Linked DNA regions of Drosophila melanogaster. The protein of the gene in region 2 interacts with the protein of the main gene of each other region in a pairwise test. Each region holds a gene or a part of one and is shown on either strand. Other genes may lie near its edges. The genes, in order: CdGAPr, Mabi, MsR2 and CG30427.

Region 1 (6,058 bases), 6.6 Mb from region 2:
TCGACACTCTTGGGCTATGATTTCCTATAATGTAACTCTTCTTTCAAACGTATTGAATAGAACGAATTCTTAGCGCATTTCACATTCGACGCAGCTCATCGGGCAAACAGAGGGCACTACTTTTGAGGCATTTTGATGGTTTTTGTTTCATATGACTTGGCACTAACAACCATAACAGCAGCAGCAACAACAACAAAGCCCCCAGCGACTTGTCAGTTTTAATTGAAATCAATTGAGCTCAATTATTTGATACGCATATGAAACACAACATCAGCGGCCATCACAACAACAGCCGCAAGAGCCGCCAACCCAAAAATTCTTATACGCCGTGTGGGTTCGGCATTTCCCCCTGCTTGCACTTCAATAACCACGAGATAGTTGGCGAGGCTGGGGGCATGTCAGTCGCCAAATATGGAGCGTTTATGAAGAATTCTTTACATGAATGTAAACAAAAACAAAATGCGAATATAAAACGCGACGGCGTCGGCTCGAACAGGTGTAAACAGCAATAAGACACAGGGCGAAATGTGTAGAACAGCGAATTTTCTGTTGGCAGTTTCGCTGCAATGTTTTTTTTGTGCCTGCTATTGTAGACTGTTTACATTGGCCAGCAAAACAGTGGTTGGTAATCAGTAATCAGTGATAACGGCTGCAATTTAGTACTATTAGTAATCCATAGGTATGAAAAGTCTTGCATGAACTGGACCGAACTCCAAATGTTAGTTAGTTCTCGGTAGCAATACTGTGCAAGCCAGTGTAATTCTTATCCCTACGCTGCCTGAAGAGGGGAATGCGAAATTCCTTCTGTGGTACTAGTGCAAAAGTAAGTAGTCCAGGAACCAAGGCGTTGCAGCCCAGTGTAGCCCCCCAGTACGCCCAGATGTTTGGTGTCACCCGGTTGAAGGGTACTCCCTTCCCGGATGGGAAAGGGTTTTGCTGGCGGGATTGGGTATGGGAATCTGCCGCATCTGTGGGCAGTGGTGTAATGAGCTGGTCGCCGGCGAGGTAAACGTTCCCCATTGGAAGCGGTGTGAGCTAGCCGTCCGTTTGAGCGGATGTTTGAGTTGAGTGCACAGCTACCGAGGCGCAACGAAATTAATCGAACTCGAAATCGGGAGCTGGCGGGGAAGCAGCTTGCTCGCTTGGTTATGCTGCTGCACATATAGTACCCCTGTATATAATACATATATATGTATGTATGTTCGTGTATATAGACGTAGAGTAGATGTATCTGGCCAACTTGACACGTTTCTGCAACAGGCGGCCGCAGCGCAGTCAACTTTGCTCTCGTCACTCGAAATGTGCCATAATCGTGCGCAGTCGCGGCGCGAATCTTTCCCAGAGACGTGAGCCACATAATAACCGCAGTAGGAGCCCCACACGAGTGTACATATGTACATAAAGTATAGTAGCACATATCTGTACGTATCTCGTAATAATAGCGAGAAAGCTGCCCGCACCCAGCCCCCGCATTTAACGGCCAAAATGAGTCAACATGCGCCCAAAATGTTCTCATAGAACAGTGGGGAGAAGTTTGCTGATGCGGAGGGATAGGCAATGGGTTCTCTTTTTAAGCCATTTTCCACATCACACATCACTTCGCATAAATACCCATTGGGAATGAACGAGAACTAGGAAGGTACATATGAAGATAGTTCAGATAATATTTAGACAGCTTTAATTATATTCATTATAGAACTATGAAGAACATAAATCAACTATAATTCAGGGTCTCTACGAACGCAACTAAAGTTTACACACTGCAGCTCAGTAGAGTAGAAAAGTGAAATGAAGTACCACCTATCAATTAACAATCAGTCTACGCCAAATAGTATTTGTTAATTGATTTTTCCGCCTCCTTAACACCTTTTCGTTAATCGCACACTTCGCTCCTTTCACAAAACTCTTGGCTTTACTCGCAGAAGGGTATGAAGGAAAGCAAGTGAAAGGCCAGGAGTTGGCTTTTTGGGAAAGTAACAGAGCGGACCAAAAGTATCAGTTGCTTGGCAGAGTGGGTGGGGTAGGTTGGTTTTGGGGCACGAGGAGCTGGAGAAGCAGGAGCAGCCGGACGGAGCGAGTTCAATGTCAACTGTGTGGGCAGCGCCACGAAAACTTTTTTACGAGCGCTTCCGCTTGAAGAAACACACACAACTGGATGTGTGTAAGCCCGCAAGTAAAGCACGACCACACCTAAACATTAAAAACCAGCGATGGAAGTACATGTTTCCTCCTTTCGGCGTGGACAAAAACAAAGAGACACAAGCGACCATACAGCGGGGGTCAACTCTTTAAAGTCGTGTTGAGATTTTTTTAAGATCATGTGTAATCTTAGGTTTTAGGTCAATGGCTTGTAAACTACACTTTATGTGACTTAATTAGCGTTTAGTGTTTCTCACAATTTAAGTCTTGCTGTGCGTAATACCCGAGGATTGAAAACAAAAGGTTAAGGAATGTAGTTATCCCAAAGGGTTGATTGCGATGAGTCAAATGACAGCAGCTGGCATGAGTTGCTCTATAGCTATTACTATTAAATTCCAGAATAGGAGCATATAAGAAATACAAAAGTTTCAAAGTGAACAACATAAACCAAGTTCTAGTCACGGTCAAGTGAGGAACTCTATTTATAGTTATAGGGTTTCAAAATGCACGTTTCCTTATCTGGGTTTTTGGGGTTGAAGTTGCAGGACAAAAGACGGCAGCTTTGGAGGAATGCTTTTGTCCGCTCTTCCTCTTCCTCGCTTACCAAGGACTCCATAAAGACGGCAGATACCGGAGGCCCATTACTATTATTTTGACTGCAGCTGTACGAAAGAGAGGCATTGCCAATGGGGTGGAATGTGCATGTGAGTGTGAATGTGTTAAGGAAAAGCAGCAGCAGACAGACAGACAGACAGACACACAGACGAATGGACATATGGTGGAGTTGTCCCAGGTGAGAGTGTGTGTGTGAGTGTGGCTGCCACAGGGTGACAAAGTCTAGTGTGAAACGGACATATCGCACTTATGTCTTTTACATACCAACTGTTCCAATAGCAAGGCGCAGGCATAGTTACGTGCGCGAGACAGAGAGGGAAACACACACTCAGCTTCCTTCGCAAAAAATAATATGGGAGAGCGAAAAAAAATAACAGAAAAGACGGGGCGTTATTCGCTGTTATTCGGCACAGAACGCGTCTCGAACGATGATGGGAAAATGGTAAAACAATGGCTTTGGCACAATTAAAAGACCTCAAAGACGCCAAACGGTTATTCGTTTATGTTTTCATCTCTTCCTCTCCCTCACCAATCAGCAGTCGCAGTCGCGGCAGCTATTATTTATTATTTTCGTTGCTGCCGCACAATACACTGACACACATTTTTAAATAGAGAGGAGATACTTTTCAGCATATCTTTTTCCTTTGGCACGCACACGAGCATGCAGACACACGCACACGCAAGGGCATACCGCACACACACACACGTACGCTAGCAGACGGCGGGTGTGTAAGCCCAATTTTCGCATTCGTACACACCTTTTCTCGAATAGATCACCGTGGCAATGGCAATATTACAACATTTCTCACTGTCCGTCCCAGTGCACAATTAACTGGCTTCCGATCCGCAGCCTTTTACAACGCGACAACAAATGTGACGATAACGATTAAAATACCACCGGCCTTATTATAACGCACTATTTAATACCACTGCACATACAAGAAATACCAAATACAAATACCTAGCAATTAAAAACTACTTTGGTATTTAAATTAGTTGGAAATTAAATAAGTATGCTACATATTAATTATATTAGCCTTTTAGTTTTAGGAAACTCTATGAGTTAAAGAAAGTATCCAATTATCGATATATTGCCTGAAATACTACCTACACTGCTTGCTTGCTATGTTAATACAGTTCAAAACAGACCGATGGTATTTTCTACCTAACAGCAAGCAGTCACATCGCCACAAAAACATAAACAAATAAAACGATTTGAAGATGAATCCGCTAACAAATATGAAAAATGTGCTCAAACTGAGCGAACACGAACTGCAACATGGCGGAAAGAAGAGCTGGCACGACATGTACAAGGACTCAGCCTGGATTTTCGTCGCAGGATTTCCGTATACCCTAACTGAGGGCGACTTGGTTTGCGTATTCTCGCAGTACGGCGAAGTGGTCAACATCAATCTAATTCGAGATTCAAAAACGGGAAAGTCCAAGGTAATGCTTAGTTACCCTTTCAAGAAAGTTCCTGAAATCATTGTTTAAACTTGTCCAGGGCTTCTGCTTCCTGTGCTACGAGGACCAGAGATCCACAGTGCTGGCCGTGGACAACCTGAATGGCATCAAGATCCTCGATAGGACACTAAGGGTCGATCACGTGGCCGACTACAAGCCTCCCAAGGAAAACGAGAAGATGGACGAGGAAACCCTTCGCCTTTACATGGAGGGCTGTGCGCCGAAACCTCAACTTCAGCACATCAAGACTGAGAAGAAAGACAGCAAAAATTATAGATGATAAGATAAGGTTAGCTTAAACATAGCAAAGCATGCAAACAGAATTTTTATATTAACTTAAATTTTTTAGTTATTAAACGCTAAATTATACTACTACATTCTTTTTTAAAGCCAGTAATTTAAGGTGCAAGAATGAATTGGCTTTCCAACCTCTCATTCGCCATCAGCGCTCGCAAAGGAGTCGTCATCATCATCATCATCCTCATCCTCTTCTTCCTGACCCTCCAGTTCCTTCAGAATCCTTCGCTTGTAGCGCTCATAGGCGCTGCCCCTCTCCCGGTCGACATTGTAAAAGTCCACGTCGTCCACAAACGAGTCTTCCTCAGTGTCGATCGTGTGCACGTAGGGATCGCGAAAGGTGGCATAGTCATCATCATCGCTGGTGCTGGCAAACTCATCCTCGTCATCATCTGGAAGAAGAAGCATATGCATATTCATAAGCGGAATCTATGCAAACAGTTAACACAGATCTTACCGAGCATAAACTTGTTCATTTGCCGGCACAACTCATCATCCGAACCCATGGCGCCCGCTTCGTCGTCGTCCGGGTAATCATTGGTAAAGTAGTTCTCCTGGTTCGAGTCCTCCGAGTCGTAGTCCTCGTCCTGGTCGTTGTAGCAATCTTCTAGGACAATCTCGCCCACAGGAATCACACTGCAGAATAGGCGAAACAATTAGTGAGTTTATTTCGATTCTTTGATCACGCAGCATTTTTAAATTGAAACACAACAAAGTTTGTCACGTATTTTGAGAGTTTCTTTATTTAGTTTATATTCGATTTCGGGCAACGCTAGGCCCCAACAGATATAAAGCAAAACAAACTAAGACTATGCACTTAATTAGACTTCAGCACTAGTGTTATCCGTTTTTTTTTGTTTATTGTCGGAATGGAAAAAGAACCAAAAAGGCAACTGACAACTGGCGGAAACTAAACGAAAAATGCTCGGTGAGCTGTTTTTCAAAAAAATGCGGTGTGTGTGTGTTCGTGTGTGGGGGTAAATTATTCTAATCTAATAGCTAATTAATTCTATGAACATAAGGTAATGAGAGACATTTGCCTAAAACGATTCCAAATAGTACACTAATTGTGCGTTTTTAGCAGGATACATCTTATTTTTATTAAAAACTTTGGCAAGAGGGAACTTTATGGGAACTTTACATAACTATGATACATTATTTAAACTAAGAAGTTTAGATCTAACATATTTTTTAAATGGAATATGGCATAACATAGTTGTGTTAGAATTGAACGAAATCTCACAGTAACAAATCAAATAAATAGCTTCCAGAATCATTCGTTTTCAGATCATGCCGTGTTTACTCATAAAAACAATGTTTTATCGTTAGTTTTGGGCATTTGTCAAATGTGCTGACTGCAATGAACTGTAAGTGATGTGAGTTGCCAGTTGCAGTCCTTTTTTTTATTGTCGTGGGTGGGGCATTGGGTGTCTCCTGTCCTCACACTTCCTAAGTGCCTGCGACTTTGTCTGTCTCTCTCCATTTAGTTTATTTCTTGTTTACCAGTAGCAGTTGTTGTAGTAATTAAACGGATAATACAACC
Region 2 (4,374 bases):
TTGCTATCGTCAGAGTATACTAAAGTGTCGCATTAACAATTTGTACTTTTTAAAATTGTTTGAAACAACGCTTGAAATTATAAATTTTTTATAGAAATTTAGAGATTACCTTTTAATTTTAAATGGCCGTATCAAATTAATATTAAAAACGACAAAGCCAATCTCCGCAATTTTTGCAGTATCCAAAGAAATTGTATTTTTAAAATAAGATTTTAGAATAAATGTATTAATATTCTATTTTGCTTTAACATTTATTTTGTTTAAATGCACTAAGTTTGCACTTCCCAAGAATTGTTTCTGTTGTTCTTATTTCTTAATTTTAATATAGGGTTTGATTTTTCACATATGTATAATGACACTCACGTATTTCTCGAACCGGCTTGAACTCAACTGGTGGCAATTCTATTTCCGCTGCCAAACATAAGCCGGCCATCAGAATTAGAGCAACTACGCCAAAGATACGACCCATTTCGATAGATTGTTTAATATTTAATTTGATACGTTTAGATTGAATGATGTTTTTTTTAATTGACTTCCTCGTTAGGTGAAGTTATTCCACATCCGTTGGATAGCCCAACCTGACCGATGCAAATGCGAATCAACGTCTGAGAGCTGCGATGGGTGGCGGGCTCTTATTTATGGGAAGAAAACAAAACAAATCCAATCAAATCGAAATTGCAAAGACAAACGTAAAATAAAAAAAATAAAAAAAGGCACAAACACAGATGCTCGGCATTAGCAAATAATAGGGATTTGTGGGCGGAGCGGTGGGCGGTGGGTGGTGGGTGGATAACAAAAATAGCTTGAAACTAATCGCCGTCGCAGCTGTAGAAAACAAAGCAAATGCAAAAGTCAATAGACAGTAGACAGTAGACAGTAGCGAAATACAAACGACATTATTAAATTCCCCCGTAAAGTCGTGAAGTGGAAGCCACCCAGCCATCCGATTTGACTTATCGCGACCCCAGTGCGACCCGACATACTCATCACATAACCGCCTACCAACTACCGGCAGCTGTCCCAAGTGATCCGACTCGCTTTGGATGCTTCCTCGACTTGGTGATGGAGATGGTGCTGGAGATCTTGGTCCCAGGCGGCTAATTAAAACGTACCACCTTATTAAATGTCTCGGGGACTTGGGCTTAAGATCACTGTTTCAATTTTTAGAGCTTGAAACTATTCTTCCTGTACTTCCATGCTAATGCTAATGCATTTAACTGAGGCTTTATTTAACTTACTGCAATTTTGTGGCCTAGTAAAATATACATCTGTGTATACCCTCAAAATGAAAAGGCAGAACCTTTTACTGCCTATTTCTGTTTCTACTAGTAAGTAGTAATGAAAGTATAAATCAAACAATTGGTGTCAAGCGTGGCCGTGCTAACAGCTCTAATGCTAATTCTGCTTTTTGCACCTTACGGCAATTTTTAAAGTGCTTGATTAGTGATTATTTAGTCACGTGTGTCTAGTAGGCAACGTACGTCGATTTTGTCAAAGCTTAAAAGGTTGGAAATGAGTCATACGCGTACAACAAATCTTTATACTAATTCGGAAAACCTCAGTTCTTAACAAACAAATAAGTAGGTTATTTTACGCAGGCCAATTTTCGAATACTTTTTTTTTTAGGATCGTTTTAAGATGCGCTGAGTTTACAACGATTTATCAAGTGACCTGGCACAAAAGAGATAAACGCACGTTATCAGCAGACGCAGACTGTCTACAGGAATGTGCCCTTTTGCAACCCCAAATAGACGTCATCTTATCGTCATCTTCGGCATTAAACTGCAAACCCAGAAATGGCACTCCGAGTTCCAAGAAGTGATATCTAAAAAAAGGGAAACAAACGGAAAACAAAAGATCAGTGCCACACACACCTTATCAACAGCAGGATACAAAGGGAGTTGGACAAATGAGGCCGCAAAACACTTTTCGAATAGAGGCCAATTGAACAAGAGTAGCCCAAAATCCATATATGTATATATATATATGACTTTTACAAAAGGCGGCGACATTGAAAAACACAGCAGATAATAGATTTGAAAGAGGAACAAACACGAATTGAATGAACCCAGACAATCGATGGGCGCGCATTTCGCCACCTACTGATCCGGAAAAACTCGGATTGTATTGTATCTGAAATTCAAAAGATCCCAGCTGAACGCACGCAAGAATAAACATGACCAGTAGATAGGGATGCCCAACGGGTGGGCTTACAAGTAGGTAAGTGGGATGGGTTGGGTTTTGGGTTTGGGTTTGGGTATGGGATTGGGTGGCATGTACGCGTGCGCAGGCAAATCGAGCGGGTTTATGATCTTGTTTTCGTTTTGCAAAAAGAAAATTCGTCGTCGATTTGTGTAAACAAAGTTATAAAAGTTGTGGGGGGATTACGAAGAGCGGCAGATAAGGCTTTCGCCATATAAGCTAGTGTACCAATCCACAGGACAGCATTCAATCGAGAGTCTTCGAGTAGAACACACATAGCATAACCATAGCATATCATACCATACAATGGAGCACCATCAGATCTATCGCCACAAAAAGTTCGACATGGGTCGAAAGATTGAGAAATGCGATTTGCAGCTGAAGGAAGAGCTAATCTCCCGGAGCGGCACACCCTGCACCAGTCGGAGTCCTTTCGATGCGGCAAATCAGTCCGTCAGCTTGGGTTTCAGTGATCAGGATGCTGACTTTCCTCCACTGCCAAAGCGTCGTCGTTTGGGATCCTCATCCTCAAGCGTTTCCTACCAATCCGCCAGCCCCATCATAACCGAGGCCATCCAAGACATCTTCAAGTACCACGTCAATATGGTGCGAAAATTCCCGAAGAAGGAGCGTTCACCGAAGGATCAGGAGCGCCGCAACAAGAACACAATTGCCTGCAGGATGAGTCGACGGAAGAAGAAGTTCGATGACCTGCAGATCGAACAGCAGTACAAGGAGTGCTCCGATGAGCACCTCAAGATCGCCGAACAGAGTCTGCGTGCCAGGGTCTATTTGAATCATCTGAAGCAGCTGGTCAAGCAGGAAGACCACCCGCTAGTATCCTCAAGGAGAGTTCCGGAGGAGAATACCAAGAGTAACTTTAGCATCGACTACCTGATAGGTGGTATTAAACAGGAGCATGCTTAGATACGTCCATCTCCTTTTAGGATTGTATTATATAGTTATTATATTAATGCTAAGTTGTTAAGTTTCTTCAAGAACTTTTAGTGCTAAGAAATTTAGTATATATTTAGTATAAATGCCTTAAAAGGTTAAGCAGGAACTTCTTAATAAATAAAATATGAGGATTTAATTTTTACGGCTAATTGATTTTTTATCGTGTGCTTGACTTTTAATCTTCCTTCTAAAAATGGTATAAATATTAATTTATGACATTGGCAGAAAAAGTAATCAAGCGCTAATGAAGCAATGAATATATTAAAAATATATATAAATAAATTTAATAAAATATAATAAAGCGTGGAGCCATCGAAATAAATCCCAATTAATCCCCAGGGGTAGTTCGCGTGGTGTCACAGGCAATCATCAGCCCCTGGAGCAAATCGTTATTGGTGACCCCATCGACTATTGCCTCCCCCCATGGAGAATATCAAGCCAGTCGGATAAAGTTCACTGGGTATTAACCCTGCACCCTGGTCAAACCACTGGCAATAGAGCCGTAAACCGATTGAAACCGCAGCTACGGGAATGTGGGCTTAAATAATAACTACTCCTATTCCCGTCCATCGCTCAGCTGTCATTGTCGCACTTAAAGTTAAACTAAACACTTTAGCTATTAGTAGCTACGATATTTTCAAATACATTGTAATCGAATTGGTCACGCTAAAGGCTTTCATTTGCATAACCCCTAATCCCTGTGGAAAATTTCAACGTATTAATAGGAATGGCAAGTGCTATAGTGTTTCCATTATTTTAATCCGATTAGGTTCCATAAGATGAATATATATGCTATACATGCTATTAAAACTAATTCAGAATTCAATTTCCTTGCTAACCGTTTCTTGTTTTTTTCTTTGACAAAAACGAAGCAGCCATACAACATAATAACTATAAACTTTAATAACATTATTAACGAAACAATAAATTTAGTATACTCTGTCAGGGTTTCTAATCACAGATTAGATCAATGTGCGTCACTGCCGCCGGTGGATGCAGTGGTTTCCATGTCAGATGTATCATTGGGTGGAACTCCACTGCTACTCGGTCCGTGGTCCGTCATGTCATCATCGCTCATTCCCTCCTCGGATAGAGGATCGTGGTCCGCCTCCAGAGGTGGATCCATAGCCTTGACCAATTTCACATACTTCTGGTTCTCGGCTTCCGTAAACATTTTAAACGGCACATCCTTGCCCACAATGGCCACATTTATGG
Region 3 (6,313 bases), on a different chromosome or scaffold from region 2:
CAGCCACACATCCTTGCAACTGGCTGATAAGTTGCACAGTGATAAAAGGATATTACAGTACAGCAAACTTTGAATTACTCTTTATAAATGCAATCTGTATATGTCGTACTTTACACTTTAAAGTGCCTTAAATTCAATGCCAGTCATTGCCATTGTACAAAAACTGTAAATCACAGTAAAATCTGTAAATCTGTATTTTGGTAAGCTGTTGAGCACCTGAATGAAAGTCGACAGTAAGGACTTATCCACTAATGGTTCTTCCCTGTACTTTATCTACTGACGCTCGTAGTTTTCTCTTGTCTGGTGCTCATGCGATGCAACATCCTTTCCTTGTCAGATGCATTTAATTTAATTAAACAAGCTCCCCGAGGACCGAATAATTCACACCGACTTTTTGGTAGAACGCATCGGCATAAATAACATTTAAATGCAGTCATCATTTATGGCTGAGATTTGCAGCGCGCTGCGCTGACAGATGGCAAGATGATATGGCGCCTGATATGGCTTCCGCCCGACCATGCTGCGTATGCGTAATATTTGCCCAGATTTATGCAATGCTATTTTCCGACTGAGATAAAAGGCAAAAGCGCAGGGGAAGGAAGTGATATAAATACGAGATATGATTATGGACCGCTCATGCATGGCATATGCGAAAACTTTTGCGATTGCGATTATGATGGGGGCCTCTGGTTTTGACCTTGCATATATGTAGATACATATACATATACATACATACATATATGTAGAAGTATATACCCCGTCCAGCCCCGATTCTCTAGGCTCGGCGCTTGCCATGTGAATTATTGATCCATTCGAGGGTCTTCCAACATTTTCCTATTTTCTTTGGCATCACGTGCCTAGATAGCTGATGAATGGCCCGCATTCGGTCGTCTTATTTTTATCGGACTTCGGCAGAAATGCGACTCCCCAAAGAAATGAGCATAAATCTTTGGATCCGCTCTCATTTGAATTCAGTTATTTTTGCTCACAAACGAACCTAATGGGCGGACCGAAACTTTTGCAGGGCTTAAACTTTTAAACAGGCTGTAAAGTGTCCCCACTTCCTTCATAAAAAGAGCTAACAATTTGTGGCAGACACACATGCGGCTCAACTTTCCGACCTTGACGTCGCTTATTTGGCTTAAACAATGGAAATTATTATCCAACGATAATGGGAATTATGATTTTACGCTCTGGCGCCTGGGACTTAAAAGTCCGTGGACCATGTGGCGTATGCGTAATGCAGTAAAGCTAAATGACACTTACGTGCTGTAGGACAATTAAGGCAACTTGTTACCTTAATTTTTAATAATTTCCACTTACTTATAGTGTAGTATAATGTTTCTTAAGCAACATGCGAATGCTGGAGTCAGACAAACGAGTCCAAGAACATTAAGATACGATGTAATCCAGAACTTATTAATTGAAGGCCCGACAAACTAAATGTTTCTGCATTCTTTTGTGAGCTAAACTCCGGCAATTAATTTAAATGATACTCAAAACCAAGAACCCGCCGACTACGCAACCAAAGTTTGCCTTAACCGAAAGCCGCAGGCAATTGACTCGGCTTGGGTTTGATCCAGTGGCACGTGCTCCGTCTTGAGCCATCGTCCTGGCCTGGCCAAAACCGAACCACAATGGACAATTACTGTCTCATCTGGGCTGAGACACCGAATCCCGAACTCTGGCAGTGGCAGCTGGCATCCAAATTAATTAGCTGCCCAACTTAACCGAGACCGAAAAGTTCAGGTCTTCGCACAATGGACTCGATGGGATTTGGATTTGGAAAGAGTTTGGGATTGGGATCGAGATCAGGATTGAAGTGCATGGCAGCGACTCTTGACACTGGCGTTCCATGATGGGTATGCCAACTATTTGGTGCCGCAATTTACGGCCTTCTGCTTCGGCTAAATGTGTCAACAATTCGACTGGCAATTAAAGCCAGCGGGCAAGTGCATAAATTAGTTGGCATTATGGCCTCTCGACAGCTGCGAGAATTCCGCTGTCGCACATGCGACTAATTGCTTCGAGCTGTTAACCCTCTGCATGTCCATAAATTGAAAGTTTTATGCATTGTGTGTCCTATTGAGATGACTGGATGTTTTCGAAAGGTTTGCGCAGCCATTTCCTTGCGGGAAATTAGAAAACTTTGCGCTATCTGGACTGTTTGGTGATTTTTTGCTTGCTACTTTGCGACTGTGCAAATATTTTCGCAAGCCAACCTTTTGTCCATTGTTTGCCAGTGCCCCCCTTCTACTCTAGTTGACTTTTATTTATTGTGGCCATAAAAAAGCAGCAGGCATTGCGCAAAGTTGAAAGAAGCCCAAAAGGAATCTAGCACGAAATGCCAACAATTTTTGTATACATTTGTTTGAGGTTTACTTTAGGTTTGTTTCCCTCCACGGTTACTTGACTTTACCCATATTTTTCTTCGAAATTCAAATTTCATGCTCACAACACTTTTTACGACTTTCCCGCATTTGTACAAACAATGTTTGTTGTCCCATTCCCATTTCCGTTTTATTTGTTTATTTGTTCATTGACAAGATGCGAGCATCACATTTATTTAATGTTCGTTCGGCATGAGCCTTTGCAGGTTTTCCATCGGTTTTTCCAAAGTACTCCCCAGTTGCCAGTTGAGTCTGGCCCTTGGATTGCACTTTTGCGGACGCATTGATCATAAAAAGCCTTTAATATATTTCTTGCCGAAATAGAGCAGTAAAGTTCCCCGAAAGTGCAGATAGGTGGAAAGAAAGTTGTAAGAAAAATGTGTCATTTTGGTTGCATGTTGCAAAGTCCACATGCCTTCAATTAATTTCTTAAGTTTTCTACGATGGGAAGGGGTACGAATAATTTCGGAAATAGTTTTTATTGTGCGGAAAATATATAGAATCCGACATGAAATTTGAAATCAAAAAGTTGTTGCTTACAGAACAGAATTAAATTAAAAACAAAAGTTTCTATAATTCATAGCACCAAGTTCATAATTATATTTACCATATTCTGAATACCTTTGGGTTCTTTTTCAAGCAAAAATTCCTTTAATTAGGGCTTCAAAAGAGTTTACTAAACGATACAAATATCTGTTTAGCTGCAGGTTCACTTTACTCATTTAAAACGAATTTAGATTTCTATTAAGCATCCTTTCTTAATCATTTGGCCAGAATTTTCTTTGTTCTTCGTAACTTATAACTGGGCTACCTACATCAATCACTGGTACACACCACAATTTTCTGGGAATACAATTTTCAGGACATTAGGCACAGTGTCCCCATGGATGTTGTGGCCATTATGCTAATCAGATAAACCTTTTTTCGGCCATAAATGAAATATAAGTTGGGCGAAATGATACCAAATGCCAATAAACTGACCAAAAGTTCACTGACCAGCCGATGAAAATTCGTGACGGCAACTTACACAAATCGCAAAACTTATATTACGAAAAATTCAATTCAACGCGCTAAACCGAAAATAACAATTATTGCGATTTTTCATCTTATCGGCACATTTTCGACGTTTTCGAATTATATTTTCAGCCGGGAAAACTCCGAGACACGTGCGTACGGCACCGCAATGAAAAACCAACTGAAAAACTGCGAAAAACTCGAGCGGCAGCTGCTCGCTATTTTCTCCGAGCTCTCAGGAAATCGACGGTCGGCTTTTCCTGCGCGCCTGTCGAAAGTGTTGCCAGCTTTCTGGCGTCGACGCCGGCAGCGACAGCGTTGAATCAGCTGTTCGGAAAAGCCAGCGAAAGCCAGGGGAAAACGAGTTCCACCAGAAGCAACTGGTGTAGCTGGGCGGAAAACAGCTTCCACTTGCCATCCACAGACGGCAACAGCTGGACGACTTGTTGAAGTTGCAGAGTCTGTGCAAAACAGAGAACCGGAAAAACGAGTTTCCTTGAAAACAGAGAGAGAGAGAGAGAGTGTAAAATGTTTTCTTCTTTCCTTTGCAGAAGTTTGGCTTTTCCGTTTGCTTTTGCTGCTTTTGCAGTGGATCCCATTCGATTTGTTTTTATGAATGAAACGGTTTTCTATCGACTTTCAGCGCGCCAAAAATAAATTTAGCCAAAACCTTTTTGCTGGTCAAATTTATGGAGCTTCAGCCAGTCCATATGGCAGTTAACCCTTTTTTCGGACCCCTCGGCGTATGGGTAATAAATCATCAAATGAAATGATAAACTGCGACGACCACCTTCCCAACCCCTCGAATTTTCCCAGTTTTCCCAACTACAACGGCTTTTTAATAGAACCTGCTGCGAATGTGTTTAAAATCCCCTTCGAGTGCTCGTAAAACGTTCGTTTATCTTATTTCGGCTGGTATTTATTTACTTTTTATTCTATCTGGCGCATTTCCCAACTGCTTCATGTTAGATTTATGTGCGGATCTATTTGGCGAAATTTATGTTTGCATTTCAATTTACTTCCTCCATCTTACTCACTGTATTTTATTTTAAAGCATATGTTGATTAACGTCAGCAGTTTATGACATGGTTCTTCTAGAATTTCTGTGGGTTTTATCCAAACAGAATTGATTGTAAAAACAAGCCATGTGAGAAGTAATCACAGATTCTGATTTAAAACTTATTTTTTTCGCTTTTAGCTACAACTAAGTTCACTTCTTTAAAGAAGATATTAGGATGTATATTGAGAGAGAGTTTAAGTTTAAAATTTAAATCGCGCTTTCGTTTATATATTCCTGCCACGTTGGGTTTCAGTTTGAAAAGATTTCTGATTGACAAGCCCCCGAAGGCAGCATTAACTTTCCCAAAAAAAAAAGAAAACACAGATTTCCCTTTTCCAAATCATTCTTCAATTTATGTCACATTTCGCTCACGACTCCGACGTTTCCAGCCCAGGACTCACACGTCTCTTTTCCCGGGCCAAAAAAGTGGGCCAAAGGCGAGGATCTCAATTATTAGGGCCTAAGTGCCGTTAAAACCAAATCAATAATTTTCCTTTTTCCCATCTTGCATGGCCGGAGGAATGCGAAACGATGACAATGTGGAATGCCTGCACGGGGCGGGGATCCATTAGATATGCGAGTTCCCGCCCAGATCCTGCTCCTCCATCCTTAACCTTCTCCTGGTGCCCACATGCCCGCACATCCATGAATTTCCAAATGACATTCAATAAGCGTTCGATGTTCAATGTTCAATTATTTTTCAATTGCATCGATTTGCCGTCAAACCACAAAAGAACTTCGATTATCCTTCGGCCGAAAATGATAAATGTGTACAGGAAATAATAAATAGTTAAATAATCTTAAATATGATACCAAAATGTTAATATTGAAAAATATTTATTTAAATGAGTAAATGAAAAATGTCACATAATTCAAATTATATTTTATATTTATTAGTGCTATGAGTTATAAAACATAACTTTTCATAGCGAAACATCTACAATTCAATTATTTAAACAGGCTTAAATTAATAACAAACTATATAAGTATGCTTGAAAAACCCATAAGAAAATTCCCGTTTTTCCGCCTGAGCATGATTCTGCCATTGTTGTTGATTTTCCTGCCAGCACGTGACCCCTTGAAAATAAGCCTGGTCGGAAGTCGTTTGGCACCCATTTTTTGCCCACGCTTTGGCCATTTCCCATTACCCACTTCCCACTCCCCGCCCCCCGCCATACACACCGGGGGCGTGTCTCTAAACCAGTTAGCTACTTTGCATTAACGCTCGCCTCGGGAGCAGCGTTGAGTGGCCCAACTATATCCAATAGAATCCTATAGCACTCAAACGCCGCCCGTCCAGTCCGCTGTCTCTCCATCCAGATTCACATGAAGATGGTGATGGAGATGGATGCGGAGACAGAGATGGAGATGGAGATGCGTTGACGTGTTAGTGGAGCGAGGCTCGGGGAAATTCGTGGAAAATGGGTGAACAGGATGTGCTGACTTGACAGGGACATAGCCCGAAAAGCTTCCGCTGCTATGGCAGCCCAACCGCAGAACAGGATTTCGTTGCGGGCAGTTTTTTGGAACCCGTAGCGATAATCCTCTTGGTCCATATGGAAATGCATGAACGACAGACAGTGTGAGGGAACATACACTAGGAGAAATCAGGGAATAATATGCACTTACACTTTGTATTAGCTATTCGTTTACGTCCAATAAAAAAAACTTACTGAAAATATCAAAATATAAAAAGTGCTGTATCTACAGTTTTGTACAATTGACAGTGTATTTGTTTCAGTGCAGTGTTAAAGAAGATACAACATCACCTTGGGCAACACAAACTATCTGCTCGAAAGACTTTAAAGGCTCCTTGGAGGTGGCACAGCTGCCGGCGAAAGTTGTTGAT
Region 4 (6,262 bases), on a different chromosome or scaffold from region 2:
GCTCGCCCGCCCGGGTGAGGGGAACCACATAGAAGGCGAAGTCTACGAAGTGGACGAGACCATGCTCTCCAAACTGGACATACTAGAAGACTACCCGGACTACTATGATCGCGAGCAACAAACCATATTAATGGAACAGAATGAGTATGAGGGTGTGGGGTGATGGCCAGATGTAATAACTCACTATTGCCCCTATGTCTAGAACCATTCAGTGCTGGCTGTACCTGATTCGCAACTTCCCAGACAAGATGCTGGCCAAGGAGCTGCTGATCTCGTACCACAACACGCCGGAGAGGCCGTACAATGAAAAGTCAGTACGCACTGTTTCAGCCAGAGATGATCTTTCTTACTGATTTTGCAGCTACTTGGACAGCTGCCCGGAAGACCTCGCCATGGAAAAGTGAGAAACGGAAACGTATAAAAAAGTAACGTTTATAAACGGATTTCAACGCATGGGTATTATTCGTATTGTATTACATTAATCCATTTTTCAAAATGCAAAACGAAATGAACAATAGTAGTTTGTGGTTTAGGGTAAGAGTAGCAGTGGTGGTTTATATGAATCAAAAAGCCTAGAAAATCTGCATGTGCTGGCATAGAACCTTTGGATGGCTTGAGCTCGGCAGCGGACACTGTGGTAGATAGCGGTTCAAGTGGCCAGCAACAGCACCGTTGGCGTGGGCTGACCTAGCTTGCTTCGTCGTCAAGCGACTGGAATCGGTTGGAGGCCGCCACCGGGGCAGCCGTGGACTCCTGAACACGCTGGAAACGGCTTCCGTGACGGACTTCTTCGAAGGCGGGTTCGTTTTTCTTCTTGCGCTGTTCCTCCGGACGCGCCGCACTTAAGGTTGGGAAAAACTCGGTATTGGTGATGTCGGGGGCGGCGCGTCGTGGACGCAATGCCCCCCCAGTAGGGCCGCCTCCCAGTCCACTTCCGGCCTGCTGCTGCAGAGAAGTTGATTAAACTCGATCTGGATCGTCTCGCTCTTCTTACTTACGCTGTATCGTAGCGCGGGTGAAACGTAGGTCTTGGACGAGTGCTTTTCCACCTCCACGGGCACCGGAATCTGCATTACCTCCTCGGCTGGGACAACTTTCTTCCAGGGTCCGTGGCCGACGCGCTCCTTGTTTACGTCCGCGTTGTCATACCCATTGCTGTCCTCATCGTCCTCATTGTAGTTGCCGCCGTCCGGGGCAGAGGGCACTCGAGCAGCTTGCGACTCGGAACTTTCCTGGGCAGTTCTGGAACGGGCCGAAGAGCTATAGAAAGCGAGTTTTCGCAATATGCGGGGTCAAATGGAAAGTAAATCAATGGAAGTGGCCTTTTCTCCTGCTCATGGATTAGGCGGTCGGCGTAACGTTCGAAAACTCACATGGTGCTCAGCTGGCCGATCTTTAAGCCACTGTAGTCCTTGCGCTGCTCCTCCTCGAACTCCTTCCATTCCTCCTCGACGGGCTACGGAGCGGCAAAACAATGAACTTATAAACATGCCCTAGGTGGCCAACGGGCGCTGATTTCACCAGACTGAGATTCGGACTCACCGGGGCGGACTCTGGCACCTTGGTGCCGCTATTCTCGTTTTCGCCTACTACTGCCACGCCGCCAGCGGCTACCTCAGGTTTTTTGGGCTTGACCACCTCGCGCTTGGTGCCGTCCTCCAGGTTCTTCACCATCTCGTCGGCGGTCACGAACTTAGTCTTGTTCTTGGACTTCTTCTTGTCCTTTTTCGCGAAGAAATCGTCCAGTTCGGCCATGGCTTGTAATTAATTATAAATGAATAAAATTCGCGACAGGAAATTTGGAGAACAACTCTGCACGCCTTTTGTGCCAGATGTATCGATAAGCCGGCCAGGGCTGGAGATTCCTGGAAATTCGCAGCGAGATTACAAATTGTCGATTTAATTTCACTATGCAATTTACATAATGCACGCTTTTTTTCATACCTGGAATTAACTGATGGTTTATTATAACTAATCAGTTTAAGCAACTCTGACAGCACTACCTTAGCAGGACAAGTATCCATATATCATCTGCATGATATCGATATTTTCAACTTTGGCGGCCTTTTTGAAACCATCAGTTGGGACTGGAAGACACAAACATATTATTTTTTTGCAACAAAATTGGTAACATGCATAATTTAGCGTGTGCAAAAATCACAGGAAAGACTGCACTAATTACCAATATTCGCGACATTGGGCAACAATAGATTTGCATAGGAGATTGATAACCACCTAATTAAGGCAAACAAAGTGGAAACCACCGCCGCGGTGGCTGCGAATGCAAAGCTGGACCATTGTGTAATGGAAACCAATTCGATCCGTTGCTAATTTTGCATCCATAATGATGCCAATATATCTTATTCGCTGAAAAGCAGCAAAGTCAATAAAACTCGTCCAAATGGCAAAGTTAATGTTTCCCAAAATATGCCAAAGAGTTCCTGGGCCTGGGACTTGCATCTTGTGGTACCCAGCAGTCCCGCCCATGTAGTCAAAAGTCAACTACTTGGCCCATCACTTGGACCCAGCCTAAGCCTCTTAGGCCAGACGGCCAGTTCCGCCTAGATTAGCCGAGCTAATAGATATTTATGTCTGTACCAACACCTGCCGAATACCTACCACAGTACGGCGTGCAGCCAGGCCAGTGGTTTTGCTTCGTTTCGGCATGGTTTGCAACATCCCAAAGCACTGCTAGTCCACTCCACAACGTATTCATATTGACAACCACCGGGCTGGTCGCGTTCAGTCTTCTTTCGAGCTTCGCAGCGTCCACACCGCTCCCTCCACTACTCGATTCGATCCGAACTAGTACGCTCCGAACCGATATAGTCTCGCATTAATTCGCGTGTGCGAGAGTTTGATACCAATATTGCAAGTGTTTTAATTGAGGAGAATACCAAGCAATACTCAAGGTAATTGAAACACTTAGTAGCCCCAAAATAGTTTCGGCTTGCAATCTAGCACTCCGCCGACCTCATCTCGAGCTGCGATTCCTCCTTGTGATTACCGCATTGTAAAGACAATGCTGCTTATTTTTCGGGGCTATTAGGCTGCAATTCGAGGCATTTGCCAGCCCAGCGAAGCGTTTAATTGACGATTACAAAGGTAGGCCCCTCTGCCCTACTGAGTTTGATTTCGAGATACGCTCGTGAACCCCCGTCTATGTCAGGGTCGTGTCATGACCTGTCGCAAAGTCTGATATTTCGATATTCCACATTTTCCGCTTTGAGTTCCGTGGCCCTTTGCATATATTTGAACCTCGGCTTGCGGCTTGCTGCTAATTTTATGTGTCGGGGTTTCATCTCATTTGTATCAATGCTGATCCAATACAAAAGCCATTTACATATTGAGGGGGATTTTTATTTAAATATATCGTGAGACTACGTGAGCAAAGGCCAAATGGGAAATGGAATGGAAGAATTGCCAAACATTTAAAATTTGTTCGATTTCATGGTTTAATGTCTCAGCCTCAAGTGGCTTTCTTAATGATCCTCCACACAGCCACATCCGCAGCTCTTCTCCGTATTCGAGCTTACGTTGCCTTAGAAAAGGGGTCATTGGTACAGCGCAGTCAGTCAATCAGTCACTGCGCTCCAATGGGTTTATTAACTGCAGACCGATTGCAGGCTGCACTTTGCATTGGAAAATTTTAATGGCCCCATCATCGGTAGCCAGTTCTGAGGTCGCAATCGAGTTGTAACCACACAATATTACTTAGGCTAAAAAGCAGCAATATGTAAACAAGAGGAACACACAATCGATAAACACAACCACATACAAGCTAATTAAAGATTCCAAAATGTTTCTACTTACAAGCGATATACGATATACCGGTTTTGGCTCTAATAAAAATATGACAAACGAAGGAGAGAAACAAATATCATAAGATAAAAGACTCTTTATCGTTTATCGACGTTTCAAATAGGGTCAATTTGCGTTTGCGTAATATCAAAGAGCTTAAAAACACTCTTGCCAATTGTGGGGAGGGTAAGTTTAAAATGGTATAAAAACATTTCGGATTTGAATTTATCGATTTCGACGTAATTTTTGCAAGTCGTTCCGCTACATCAATATGCTTATGAACAAAATACATAGATGGTAAAATCTCAAACAAATTTCTTGAATTCCATTATCTTCGTGATGCTCCGTTGTTAAAACTATGCACACATTGTTCTTTCATTAGAAATCACAAATATGTTATGTTATTTTAGTTGTCTATCAGTATTTTGCATTAGTTACTGTTTTCTGACTCGTCTCTTTCTCGCTCGTCCGCCCCAATTGGGATCAAGTTTGTGGCCTAAGTCTTTCGTTTACAAAATGAAGCTCCGTTGTTTTAGGTTCAGTTTTAATAAATACGTTTGTCTGTAATGCTCATAACTTCGGGTTTGACAACTTGGGTCGACCGAAATTTGTCTCAATGTGTGTATTTCGAGGCTTGCATAAGTGCAAGCACTCTGAAGTTGTTTCTCGGGCTGTGGCTCTCGTTGGTTTCACACATTCGGCGGACGCGTTTTAATTGGCCATAAAGCCGAAAACTGGGGCTCAGTAACAAGCCCCTAAAGGCAGGTGCCGCGAGGCGAGATGAAGGAGAACCGCAGTGATCTAAGTGAAGTGATCCCAGAAACAGATCCAACCACATAGATTTCAGCTTGTAGTTCAAGGTGCAGTGGGGCTGCTGCGTCATGCTTCCTGCGATTTCCATCTTTTCCAGCTTTGCTCTGCTGGAGGAGGTAAACACTCGTTGCCGGAGATACAGTATTGGACATGCATACGCTTGGGCGGGGTGTGACCACAATCGAGCTGCAATAAATAGGTAAACAAGTACGTCCGCTCGGTCTTGCGTGAAATGTCATGACATGCCCAAAGTGCAAGGCACAGGCACAATCCACAATTCGAGATTGCCGAGCAGATGTGGCCAACTGTAACGCGGCTGCAATCCAACCCAGCCGCATGCAGATTGAGAAACAAATACTTGCAACAATCCCCGTCGGAGGGGGAGATATAAAGACAACCTGGCACGCTAGACGGGTTCGATGCCAGCTACCCCTGGTAATTGCATAAGCCAGCAAAGAAATGCGAATCCACAGGCGCAATCGAAAATCCAAATAGAAACCGAAAGTCCACTAGAAACCCGTTTGCGGCAGGTTCAGCTCACTGGTTGCTGCTGTGTGTTGGCTGCTTCCAAGTCGAACACCAGATGTGGTAAGAGGGGCACGCGTGGCCAGAATTAGCCCCAGTTTTTCCAGCACCACTTGCGCCATTCGCTTGCCAATCACTAGTTTTTCCTTTGACTGGTTTTCGCATTCCCGGAATGCTTCTTGCGTCACTCCATTTCCATTCCCATTCCCAGAAGGTGTGCTAATACACCTCTTTCTTGCAGAAAGATGACGGTGGATCTATCGCCAGTGCAGGAATACTATAAGGATAAGACGATATTCATCACTGGAGCGTCTGGGTTCATGGGCAAGGTTCTGCTGGAGAAGTTGCTCTACTCCTGCCACTCCCTCAAGGAGGTGATCATCATCTGCCGCCCGAAGCGCGGCAAGGCACCCGAGACGCGTCTCGAGGAGATGTTCAAGCTGCCCATCTTCCAGCGCATCAAGGACGAGCGCCCGGAGATGCTCAAGAGGGTTACCATCTACCAGGGCGACGTCACCTTCGACCGTAAGTGTAGCGCTTAAGTTCCGCACTTTAATCTCGATTGATTTGCATTTCCTGCCCTTCATTTGTAGAGCTCGGGCTCAGCGGGGAGAGCTTGAAGCACGTGACCGAGAACACTAACATTGTTTTCCACATGGCGGCCACCCTTAAGCTGGAGGGCAACCTTCGGGACGCCATCGATATGAACTTGCTAGGCACCCGGCGAGCGCTCAACGTGGCCAAGGAAATGAAGCAGCTGGAGGCCTTCATCCACTTGTCCACGGCTTTTTGCAACTGCGACCAGGATGTGATGTATGAGAAGGTGTACGAGTTTCCACACAAGCCGGAGGATCTTATGCGCCTGGCCGAGTGGATGGACGTGAAGACCCTGGACGCCATTACGCCGGATTTGCTAAAGCCGCACCCCAACACATACACCTACTCAAAGCGTCTGGCGGAGCTTCTGGTGCGCGACCACTACGAGTCCATGCCCGTCATCATCGCACGTCCCAGCATCGGTAAGTGACCTTTTAAGTACGGATGCCACCTCGCTGTTGCCTATCCGCGTCGCTTTGGCCTGCGGCGAATCGATTTATCAGAGTCGTTAATTCTCTATGTCTCT

Evidence for each region.
Region 1: the proteins of Mabi (region 2) and CdGAPr interact in a two-hybrid assay, tested with the Drosophila melanogaster proteins (one large-scale study listed by BioGRID).
Region 3: the proteins of Mabi (region 2) and MsR2 interact in a two-hybrid assay, tested with the Drosophila melanogaster proteins (one large-scale study listed by BioGRID).
Region 4: the proteins of Mabi (region 2) and CG30427 interact in a two-hybrid assay, tested with the Drosophila melanogaster proteins (one large-scale study listed by BioGRID).

Annotation. Positions count from the first base shown.
Region 1 is NT_033779.5:19,788,252-19,794,309, forward strand, and holds the start of CdGAPr (Cd GTPase activating protein-related), read right to left. Parts: upstream 3,632-6,058; 5' UTR 3,513-3,631; intron 3,091-3,512; 5' UTR 3,019-3,090; intron 1-3,018. Other genes in the region: CG10466 (uncharacterized protein), read left to right, coding at 3,976-4,200, 4,259-4,498; fs(2)ltoPP43 (female sterile (2) ltoPP43), read right to left, coding at 4,651-4,907, 4,973-5,151. UniProt on the Drosophila melanogaster protein: Probably functions as a GTPase-activating protein (GAP) for RAC1 and/or CDC42. Required for optic stalk formation.
Region 2 is NT_033779.5:13,232,730-13,237,103, reverse strand, and holds Mabi (mabiki), read left to right. Parts: upstream 1-2,443; 5' UTR 2,444-2,508; coding exon 2,509-3,129; 3' UTR 3,130-3,306; downstream 3,307-4,374. Other genes in the region: Jhbp14 (juvenile hormone binding protein 14), read right to left, coding at 364-469; Prosalpha6T (proteasome alpha6 subunit, Testis-specific), read right to left, coding at 4,127-4,374. UniProt on the Drosophila melanogaster protein: Plays a role in inducing apoptosis and is involved in the repair of head patterning defects in the embryo caused by extra maternal copies of the homeotic gene bicoid.
Region 3 is NT_037436.4:2,280,141-2,286,453, reverse strand, and holds the start of MsR2 (myosuppressin receptor 2), read right to left. Parts: upstream 3,572-6,313; 5' UTR 3,206-3,571; intron 1-3,205.
Region 4 is NT_033778.4:24,933,954-24,940,215, reverse strand, and holds the start of CG30427 (uncharacterized protein), read left to right. Parts: upstream 1-2,738; 5' UTR 2,739-2,912; intron 2,913-3,880; exon of another isoform or gene 3,881-3,987; intron 3,988-5,380; 5' UTR 5,381-5,384; coding exon 5,385-5,664; intron 5,665-5,732; coding exon 5,733-6,158; intron 6,159-6,262. Other genes in the region: CG2811 (uncharacterized protein), read left to right, coding at 1-144, 203-310, 362-404; CG3760 (uncharacterized protein), read right to left, coding at 688-945, 999-1,260, 1,374-1,456, 1,543-1,755.